Linked DNA regions of Arabidopsis thaliana. The protein of the gene in region 1 interacts with the protein of each later gene in a pairwise test. Each region holds a gene or a part of one and is shown in the gene's direction. Other genes may lie near its edges. The genes, in order: RR1 and TUB9.

Region 1 (6,044 bases):
TAAAAATTAAAGAAATACTTAATTGATTTAATATTCGTATTGTTGAGTTTTCCTTCTAAATACTACAAGTAGTGAATTTTACTTGATAACATTGATTAATGTAAGAAATTAGGTATCGATGCACATATGAAACAAGTCGTATGTCACACTTAAAACTATCGTTAATTTGAAAAAGATAAGACATGTCGGCGGTGCTAAACAACTATTTAAGCAAAGTATACACTGAACTTGGATAACTTAGATATAGTTTACATTGAAGTTGACAAATTTACACATTTATAAATAAGTTACTGGTTTGTATGTGTTTATAAATATGTCGTAGAGCAATCGAATAGTCAAATATGATTTGTTATCCTATACATTATTAAAAATATACTTTCGGGGGAATAGGGCGATTGGTGGGTAGCATATGATGTTACTAATCATTCAGATGAACCATTTGCATTATTTCTTTGTTTATTTAGTATCCAACGTTTTAAGAGAAGAAGCGCACATGTTTTTTTTTGCACCATATACTGACTACTGTTGTTGTAAACTTGTAATTATACATACATATATATATATATATATATATATATATATGTTTTCAACAATCAAACGTACAATTTTTTTCTATTTTCCATTTAATACAATTTATTTCCTAGAACTACAAGTTGTTTTTGATTAAAACATGAAAAGTATACTATATAAGTTATATTCTTACTAATCATAGTTACACACGACTTGAAATAAATACATACTAAAAAATTTGGAAGGTTATATGTTTAATTTGCACCAAAAAAGGCATCGAGTAATCTTATGTTATGTATACATCATATATCTGGTTTTTTTTTGTTGATAAAAGTATATGTACTATATCTTAGCTAAAGATGTAGGTGATGATGGGAAATGCTTAGGTGTATTTTGGTACCTTAATCATATGCTTGAATGTGCGTAGACGTATTATTTTGTTTAATTTAATGATATGATTATATTTTTATTTTGCCGTTTAATTTAATACATGTAGGTCCAATAGACAGGAGGCATTGTTTCTCAATTACATAAATTCAAAGGGTAGTTTAGTAAATAAATTATAGGCATATCAAAACTAAGAATTTTTTATATATATATGCAGCTGCTCTTTTGTTTAAGGCAAATTCCTATTCGAAATTGGTAGAAAATGGAAATTAAAACAAAAAATTAGGAAACTAACAACAATAATACTAATGAAAATCTATTAAGGTTTGAGTTTGCAAACTTTACATATGACGAGTTAATTAATTTTTTCATGCATGAGCTGGATCCACGAATCAAGGGTCTTTGGTCCCACTTTCTTCCCAATTATATAAATTTCCTTACCCTATATTTCTTTCATTGATGATTCAACCCCTATATTTCACTACTTCACAAAATAACCCAGAATTTGAGCTCAAAGCAACATCCAAAATGTTCTTCTAAATAGAAAAATAAAACAGAATATAGAACAATAGTACATATAATATACAAAACTAACTTGTAAGAAATTGAGAATAAAAAAGAGAGTGGATCTAAATGAAATTTAATAAAACCAATAGTCTAAATGTAGAGAGAATGATGAAAATAAAGGACATGTCAGCTTCTACATATATGTAAATAAAAAATATATATGACTGAGTATATAAAAACCACATTTTTTTTTTCTTCTGCATCTAAATGTTACAAAAATTGAATAGGAAAAATTAAGAGAGCTTTACTCTGTGAATAAATAAAAAAACAGAGAAAAAGAGCTCTAAGGTGAGACAAGCCTTGTCTTCTTCAACTCCCTAAGTCTCATCTCACCATCTCTCTCTTCTTCTTTTTTTTGGTTACCCAGAAGAGATTCACTTCTATCTCCAACAATTTCGTATTCTCTCATAATATTCAATTTTAAATCGAATAAAACTCGCGTCAATTTCCCCTCTTTCTTTCTGGGTATATATTCTTTTCTGCTTTTCTTTTTTTGTTTCTTGGGTTCGAGCTACATAGAGAGAGGTATGATGAATCCGAGTCACGGAAGAGGACTCGGATCGGCTGGTGGGTCCAGCTCCGGTAGAAATCAAGGAGGTGGTGGTGAGACCGTCGTCGAGATGTTTCCTTCTGGTCTTCGAGTTCTTGTCGTTGACGATGACCCAACTTGTCTCATGATCTTAGAGAGGATGCTTAGGACTTGTCTTTACGAAGGTTCGTATCCAAAAACCAAGATCTTCTCTTTTCATTTTTTTTTTTTTTTTTTTGTTCGTTTAATCTCACGAGAGAGAGAGAGAGAGAGAGAGAAAGAGAGTTCATGGTCTCTTGCTCCAATGATGGGTTTATTTGTGGTCCATTCTCGAAAATTATGTTATTTTGAGGAATAATTATGGTTTTCATATCGGTGGTTGACTAACTTTGCTCCCCCTTTAATAGAAACCATTTTGGTTACTTTTTAAGATTCACATATTAATCTCGAGCTTCTTCATTTAGATCACACCATTTTGATCTACTGATAGATTCACATGTAGATCCATTGTATATAATAAGTTAGGGGAGGTTTCAAATGGATTCAAATCTTGAGTCTTTGATCTTTGACTTGAGTTTTGGTTAAATGTCAATTCATGAGGTCCTTGTTGTCAGAATTCAAATCTCTGTTTTTTTCTTTTATCTTTGAAGATATGAAACATTTTGGTTGTTATGACATGCAGTAACGAAATGCAACAGAGCAGAGATGGCATTGTCTCTGCTCCGGAAGAACAAACATGGATTCGATATAGTAATCAGTGATGTTCATATGCCTGACATGGACGGTTTCAAGCTTCTTGAGCATGTTGGTCTAGAGATGGACTTACCTGTTATCAGTAACGTTCTTTTTACTCCCTCAAATCTCATCTAAGTTTGAATCTTTTTTTATAGATTATTGATCTTGTATTCGTTTAACTAGTGATGTCTGCGGATGATTCAAAGAGTGTGGTTCTAAAGGGAGTAACGCACGGTGCGGTTGATTACCTTATCAAGCCTGTACGTATGGAGGCACTTAAGAACATATGGCAGCATGTAGTTAGGAAGAGGAGAAGTGAATGGAGTGTACCGGAACATTCTGGGAGCATTGAGGAGACTGGCGAGAGACAGCAGCAGCAACATAGAGGAGGTGGTGGTGGTGCAGCTGTTTCTGGTGGAGAGGATGCGGTGGATGATAACTCATCCTCGGTTAACGAAGGTAACAATTGGAGGAGCAGTTCACGGAAGAGGAAAGACGAGGAAGGAGAAGAGCAAGGAGATGATAAGGACGAAGATGCGTCGAATTTGAAGAAACCGCGTGTCGTCTGGTCTGTTGAATTGCATCAGCAGTTTGTTGCTGCTGTTAATCAGCTCGGCGTTGAGAGTAAGACTAAAACTTCTTACATTTGCATTTGTGATTGTTATGCTCAGGGTCTAAATGATCTTCTATGGCGCAGAGGCGGTTCCTAAAAAGATCTTAGAGCTGATGAATGTTCCTGGTCTAACCCGAGAAAACGTAGCAAGTCACCTCCAGGTATAAATCTTATACTGGATACCAAAATGAGCCATTGAAATGCTTAGATGTTCTTAGCGGCTTTATGTGGACTTGCAGAAATACCGGATATATCTAAGACGGCTTGGAGGGGTATCGCAGCACCAAGGCAATCTTAACAACTCGTTTATGACGGGTCAGGATGCGAGCTTCGGACCTCTTTCGACATTGAATGGGTTTGATCTTCAAGCACTAGCCGTCACAGGTCAGTTACCTGCACAGAGTCTTGCACAGCTTCAAGCCGCTGGTTTAGGCCGGCCTGCGATGGTCTCTAAGTCAGGTTTGCCGGTTTCCTCCATTGTGGATGAGAGAAGCATCTTCAGCTTTGACAACACGAAAACAAGATTTGGAGAAGGGCTTGGGCATCACGGGCAACAACCCCAACAGCAACCACAGATGAACTTACTTCACGGTGTCCCCACGGGTTTACAACAGCAGCTTCCTATGGGTAATCGAATGAGTATTCAACAACAGATTGCTGCTGTTCGAGCTGGAAATAGTGTTCAAAACAACGGAATGCTGATGCCTCTAGCGGGTCAGCAGTCTTTGCCTCGGGGACCACCGCCTATGCTAACCTCTTCGCAATCATCCATCAGGCAGCCGATGTTATCAAACCGCATTTCCGAGAGAAGTGGTTTCTCTGGAAGGAACAATATCCCCGAGAGCAGCAGAGTGTTACCGACAAGTTACACTAATCTCACAACACAACACTCATCAAGCTCGATGCCTTATAACAACTTCCAACCAGAACTTCCCGTGAACAGTTTCCCGCTGGCAAGTGCACCAGGGATATCAGTACCGGTTCGGAAAGCCACTTCTTACCAGGAAGAGGTTAACAGCTCCGAAGCGGGTTTCACTACGCCGAGCTACGACATGTTCACCACCAGACAGAATGATTGGGATCTGAGGAATATTGGAATAGCCTTTGACTCACATCAGGACTCAGAATCCGCTGCGTTTTCCGCTTCAGAAGCCTACTCTTCTTCGTCCATGTCAAGACACAACACGACAGTTGCAGCCACCGAGCATGGCCGAAACCACCAGCAGCCACCATCGGGAATGGTACAGCACCATCAGGTTTATGCAGACGGAAACGGTGGTTCAGTGAGGGTGAAATCAGAGAGAGTGGCTACGGATACAGCAACAATGGCGTTTCACGAGCAGTATAGTAATCAAGAAGATCTTATGAGCGCACTTCTTAAGCAGGTTTGATTTGATTTTTTTTTTTTTGTCAAACTTATATAGAAGCATAATCTGATCCGTCAACGTACATGTTTGCGTTCAAAATCAAATATATAACAACTCTCAGACGCTTTCTCACCATTGGTCGCATGTCTTTTTCATAATAATGCAAATTACAACTAAATAACAAAAAAAATCAGTGAACCAAAAAAGTTGAAAAACACAATCTTGAATTATTGATATACAGGAAGGGATTGCACCGGTTGATGGCGAATTCGACTTTGACGCATACTCCATCGATAACATTCCGGTTTGATTGGATAAAAAAACCGATAAACCGGAGGGACTACCCGGATCTGTACTGTATCATTTTTACACGACGATCTACTAAAACTTGTTTGATATATATGTAGTCTGCATGAAATTTTAAATGGCAGATTATATAAGAAATAATTATTCATGTTAGGGGTTAATATCCTTGGAGATTCTTTTGTTCCTCATTTATGTAGTGAGGCTGTTTAGGGTTTTGTAAGTATGTATTTCGAGTAAATGCTTAGAATAATTCGAACAAACTTAATTTAGTACAACGCCACAACGTGAAATCAAAGCAATTCAAGATCAAAACACAAAGGGATTTGTCTGTTCAATATTTGTATGTATACATACTGATTACTAAAATCTGATCATACGAAATTCAAGAATCACACGGTGCACAAAGCACCACTAGTAGTAGAAGTAATTCTGCATCAAATCTGGTTAGAAAGAATCAAGAAAACTGTATATTTTCTGGCTAATGAGGAAAGTCCTTCACTGGAACTTTTAAATCCGAAGAAACAGTAGAGCCAAAAATGGTGTCAGGATGAGAAGAAAGGTGGATACATGTTTCCTGTGACTGTTGCTCGTGGGTAGTACAGAAGGGAGTGAACATTCCTGGCCGTTGAAGAGTACTTTGGTGGGAAACCCATCTTTGGAACCAACTTTGATTCCAGGAGTCAGTTTCTTGGTGAAGGAGATAACCGACTGCTGTTTCCCGGGTATCCGAAAGTCTTCACTCGGGTTTTTTCCGTCTTTCTCTGCAAGGAGATAGTTCAGTCCAGGGAGCCCTTCCATTAAAACAGTTGTGTTCTTCCCGTTGACCGCGATGATACTTCCGTTAAACGAGTACGCTTTCTGAAAACCGGGTGCAGCATTTCTCAGTTCAACCGCGGTAAACCAATCCACGAAATCAGTATCACCCCAGTTGAAGAGTGTGACTCGAGCAGTCCATCCGCCTCGATAGTCTGTAGCTAGGTGCCAGTTTATGCTGACTCCACAGTTATCTCCACAAGGTAATGGGTCCGGG
Region 2 (5,126 bases), on another chromosome or scaffold:
CAAAAGCAGAGAGCGTGATCCCCACGGCGAGCTTCTTCGTGCTCAAGGCAAGCACAGCCACCATAAAAACCTTAAACACCACCACTATCAAAACACACCCTCCTCCTCCTCCACCGCGATGACCACCGTCGTCTTCATGGATAATCTCCGGAACAGAAGTTTCCTCGATCTTTCTCACCAAAGGAGAATCCTCTGTAACCAAAGCTGGATCAAGCTTGGAAGGAAGAGACATACGACGCTGCAAAGACATATGAGGAGGAGGTGGAGACAAAACACGCGTTTCAGTCTGGGCTTTGTTGTTCTTGTTGTTACGTTTTGAAGATTGTTTTTTGAGACGATCGCGATTCTTAACAAAGAGATCGATTAAAGAAGTTGGGAAACCAGTTTCAACAACGAGAGATCCACCATGTTTAGGAGATTGTTGAAAGTCTGATACGAATCTAGAGATCCGACTAGATTTAGATTTCTTCCAAGGTAAAGGCATGTTGAAGGAAAGAAAGAAAAAAGGATTTAGACTTTTAAAATCTTTTTTTTGGTGATAAATCACCTCTCCGAAGAACCCAGAAAAAAGGGTTTGTCGAAGAGATAGAGAAGAAGATCTGGTTGGAAGATCAAAACCATTAATTAGACATTTTGGAGAGACAAATGCAATAAATGGAGAAGAAACCTCTTCCTGCCCTCTTTGCGCAGAAAGTGAAATGAGAGAGAGAGAGATATGATGAGGAAACCGCTAAAAAGACATTGCAGGACGACGCGTGCCTTAACCAATTATTTTACTTCCTTTTTTTTGTTACAAAAAATTTGTTATTTATTTCCATTTTTGTTAAATTTGTACAACTGTACTATGCAGTTTTTAAGATTTTACACTTTCTGCTGTACCAAAATATTACCTATGTCCATCTGACCGAAATTATTAAATTAATTCTAATAAAAAAATTCTAATAAAGCTGATCAATTTATTTATTTTAGACTTAAACTTTACAAAAACTAATTTATTCAGCTTAATTTCCCCAATATGTAAAAACATTAATGACTACAAGTATGGTATAACAGTAGCTTCAAAATCTTAATTCATTTATACCGAAGCAAAAGTGAATTTGGTAAACCGGTGAAAAAAACAAACCATTCCGAAACAGATTTAAGATTTTTGTTCAATTATATTTTGTAAGCAAACAAATTACATCGAACTAAACTAAACTAAACAACCGAAATATGCATCCATATTATTTGTGAACTAAACATGGTAAACCGGTAATAGCTATTTTAAGATCCTTACATTTTTAAAATTTGTCTAAAGATAATTTGAACAATTTCATCTATTGTTAAACCTATCAACGAATTGTGTCTATAGTTAGATGCTAAAAAACCTTCCTGATAGATTTTTTTTTGTTTGAACCGTTGATTCATATAATAAACTTAGAAGCAAGACATATAGTAATATTTTTTCACTTGAAAATTGATATTTATGCAACAGATTAACTATTCTAAAATCGTCATATTTATGAGTTGTTATTTGCCTGTAAGCCATTTACTTCTAATTTCTATTGTCAGCTTATCTAATTAATTTGGTGATTTGCTAAATAAGTAAAATTGCCTATTATTGGTGTGAAAAACAACAAAGGAAAATCCACTAATGACGCAAATTCGAATCTTTTGGTCTTTAATTTCAATATCCGAAGAAAAAAGGATCTAATCAATAATATAAAAAAGCGTAGAAAACAATTTGCCTTTATATAACTTTCACGAGTGATTTTGTAAATATTTTATAATTAATTAACAAAAATATCTAAGGAAAGATATTTGTTTTTGATTCGCTGTATAACAGCACATAAAGGAAACCAAATCGAAAAACTATCAGGGTAATATCAAAAACCAATAGAAGTCTAAGGACGAAAATGCAAATTATTTGAGAAACTAGAGAAAAAAGGAGGTAAACTATATATAGCCGATTACTACTCTCATTTGTTTTTATACCCCTCAATCATAAACAATAAACAGAGGGAGTCGCCAAATTTTCTCATCATTTTCTCGAGAAAATAGACTAAAAGCGATTCCCGAGAGAAAGAAAGAACAAAAAAAAAACATCCGAGTGAAAATGAGAGAAATTCTTCATATTCAAGGAGGTCAGTGCGGAAACCAGATCGGAGCTAAGTTCTGGGAAGTTATTTGCGGCGAGCACGGTATTGATCAAACCGGTCAGTCATGTGGCGATACAGATCTACAGCTTGAAAGGATCAATGTCTATTTTAACGAAGCTAGCGGAGGCAAATACGTTCCTCGTGCTGTTCTTATGGATCTGGAGCCTGGAACTATGGATTCTCTCAGATCTGGGCCGTTTGGTCAGATTTTCCGGCCTGATAACTTCGTTTTTGGTCAGTCTGGTGCTGGGAATAACTGGGCGAAAGGTCATTACACGGAGGGAGCTGAGTTGATTGATTCTGTGCTTGATGTTGTGAGGAAGGAAGCTGAGAACTGTGATTGTCTTCAAGGTGAGAGAGATACGCTTTCATTTTCTAGGTTTTCGTTTTCTGAATCTCGTTTGTGTTTTGATTTGTTAGCGTTTCCTGTTCCTGTATGCATTCGAATTCAGATCTGCTATTAGAAACTCCTTCATAGATGCTTTGTTTAGCGTTTGATTTCATTCTCTGATTGATGATTCATTTGTGGAGCAGGTTTTCAAGTTTGTCATTCTTTGGGAGGAGGAACTGGTTCTGGAATGGGAACACTTCTTATTTCTAAGATTAGAGAGGAATATCCAGATCGTATGATGATGACCTTTTCGGTCTTCCCATCTCCTAAGGTCTCTGATACAGTTGTTGAGCCATACAATGCTACTCTTTCCGTTCACCAGCTCGTTGAGAATGCTGATGAATGTATGGTTTTGGATAACGAAGCTCTTTACGATATCTGTTTCCGTACCTTGAAGCTTGCTAATCCTACATGTGAGATTTACAAACCATTTATTCTCTTGTTTTCTAATATTCATGTGATTGTAGTTTTGAAAATCCTGACATTGTTCTTCTTTCTTATGTGGTGGTGTATCTTAGTTGGTGACCTTAACCATCTCATCTCAGCTACAATGAGTGGTGTTACATGCTGTCTTCGGTTCCCTGGTCAACTAAACTCTGACCTTAGAAAACTTGCTGTGAACCTTATTCCTTTCCCACGACTCCACTTCTTCATGGTTGGTTTTGCACCTTTGACATCAAGAGGATCTCAACAATACAGTGCCTTGAGTGTCCCTGAGCTAACTCAACAGATGTGGGATGCCAAAAACATGATGTGTGCAGCTGATCCTCGTCATGGTCGTTACTTGACAGCTTCTGCTGTCTTCCGTGGAAAGATGAGTACCAAAGAGGTTGATGAACAGATGATGAACGTCCAGAACAAAAACTCCTCATACTTTGTTGAATGGATTCCAAATAACGTGAAATCAAGCGTCTGCGATATAGCTCCCACTGGTTTGAAAATGGCATCAACTTTCATTGGAAACTCAACTTCAATCCAGGAAATGTTCAGGCGTGTGAGTGAACAGTTCACTGCCATGTTCAGGAGAAAGGCTTTCCTTCATTGGTACACAGGAGAAGGAATGGACGAGATGGAGTTCACTGAAGCAGAGAGTAACATGAATGATCTTGTTGCAGAGTATCAGCAATATCAAGATGCTACAGTCGGTGAAGAGGAGTACGAGGAGGACGAAGAAGAAGAAGAAGCCTAAAGAAAAGATGATTGATTATTACTTTTGTAAGGCTGTAAGTTCGTCGCACTCATTTCCTTTTACCTCTTTTTCTGAATTGGGATTCTCTCTTTTTGTGCTTTGTGTGTTTTGTTATTGAATTTCTTTCCCAAACCTAAGATTTGTTCCAGAGTGTAATCACATTTGCCTATGCTTCTTTGTTTTGTCTATGAAAATATTTCAATGTCAAAAGCCTATACAATTTCTATGATCCAAAAAACTTGATAACCGGTACAAATAGATCCTACATCTCTGCGGTTTTAAGCTCTCCCTGCAATCTTTCTTCTTCTTCTTCTTCTGCTTCTTCCTCTTCTGCGATATCTGCCCAGCTTTTCTTTGATTCACTCTTCGGACCATCTGCTGTATCTTTGACGAATTCATGGAGATATTGAATCATGTTCTGGTCCAGTTTCTTTCGCTTCATGGGTTCTTCTTCTCCTCTCTCTAAGATCTTCATCTGTTCAGAGCCAAAAGGTTGTGGTTTTCCAAATAGTAGCTTTCGAGCAGCACCTCTCGTCTCTTCTTCAAACAATCTGCATCTGCGTGGTTGTGTATATAGACCTGCAGAGTTCGGTCTCACAGATGCTGGAGACGAAGAAACATCTGAGTAGTTCTTGTTTGCGGTTCCAGGAGCTATATTTTCCTTCATCCTATTCACAAATGAACATCCCGCGTAGAACTTCTCCGAAAGATCAGCTTCTGGCTTTTTCGATTCTATTTCTGCTAACATTTCGACGGCTCGGTCATAAGACTTTGCGAATGGTTCATCTCCGCATTCACTCTCTGCAGGAGAATCTCTTACATCATCAAGCAGAGATTTAGCTTCAGGAATTCGACTCATACGCATCAAGCAGATTGCAAGGTTACAGAGTTTGTTTTTGTCTCGCTCCAAACCCAAAGCTCTCCTGTTCATAATCAGTTGAATATAAGCAAAACTCACATGACCAGACAGTAATCAATATTTGGGATTTTGGTAACAAAACCAAACCTGTAATGCTGCTCTGCAATTCCATAGTTATGTAACTGTAAATGAACCCAGCCCAAGTTCCCTAGTATCCTAAAATGTTCAAACAACAATGGAAACGTCAATTCAAGAGACAAAACACTCATCAAGCTAACATGAGAATACACCGAAACTTTCTCACCTTGCTTTCTCTTGCTCGATAGTCATAATAACATGTTTTCCTTGAACCCTTTTTGCTCTACTGACTCTACCACCAAATCCCATTCCTTGTTCGAGTGTTTGCAGTTTGTGCTCAAGTAAAACAGCTTCTTCTTCAATTCTCCCTGACTTCTGCAAAAACACCAAAACCCATTTCCAAGTTATAACAACTCCATAACACTTGCTGCATTAACAAAGAAGGAGGCTGCATTACCTTGTAGAGCTCGA

The links.
Region 2: the proteins of RR1 (region 1) and TUB9 interact in a two-hybrid assay, tested with the Arabidopsis thaliana proteins (one large-scale study listed by BioGRID).

What each region holds. Positions count from the first base shown.
Region 1 is NC_003074.8:5,754,122-5,760,165, forward strand, and holds RR1 (response regulator 1), read left to right. Parts: upstream 1-1,699; 5' UTR 1,700-1,991; coding exon 1,992-2,178; intron 2,179-2,234; exon of another isoform or gene 2,235-2,593; intron 2,594-2,675; coding exon 2,676-2,828; intron 2,829-2,911; coding exon 2,912-3,352; intron 3,353-3,425; coding exon 3,426-3,502; intron 3,503-3,580; coding exon 3,581-4,726; coding exon of another isoform or gene 4,727-4,732; exon of another isoform or gene 4,733-4,949; coding exon 4,950-5,018; 3' UTR 5,019-5,322; downstream 5,323-6,044. Other genes in the region: COBL8 (COBRA-like protein 8 precursor), read right to left, coding at 5,522-6,044.
Region 2 is NC_003075.7:11,180,123-11,185,248, forward strand, and holds TUB9 (tubulin beta-9 chain), read left to right. Parts: upstream 1-1,969; 5' UTR 1,970-2,095; coding exon 2,096-2,489; intron 2,490-2,672; coding exon 2,673-2,942; intron 2,943-3,047; coding exon 3,048-3,718; 3' UTR 3,719-3,980; downstream 3,981-5,126. Other genes in the region: AT4G20880 (ethylene-responsive nuclear protein / ethylene-regulated nuclear protein (ERT2)), read right to left, coding at 1-484; MS5 (Tetratricopeptide repeat (TPR)-like superfamily protein), read right to left, coding at 3,981-4,641, 4,677-4,793, 4,882-5,030, 5,113-5,126. UniProt on the Arabidopsis thaliana protein: Tubulin is the major constituent of microtubules, a cylinder consisting of laterally associated linear protofilaments composed of alpha- and beta-tubulin heterodimers.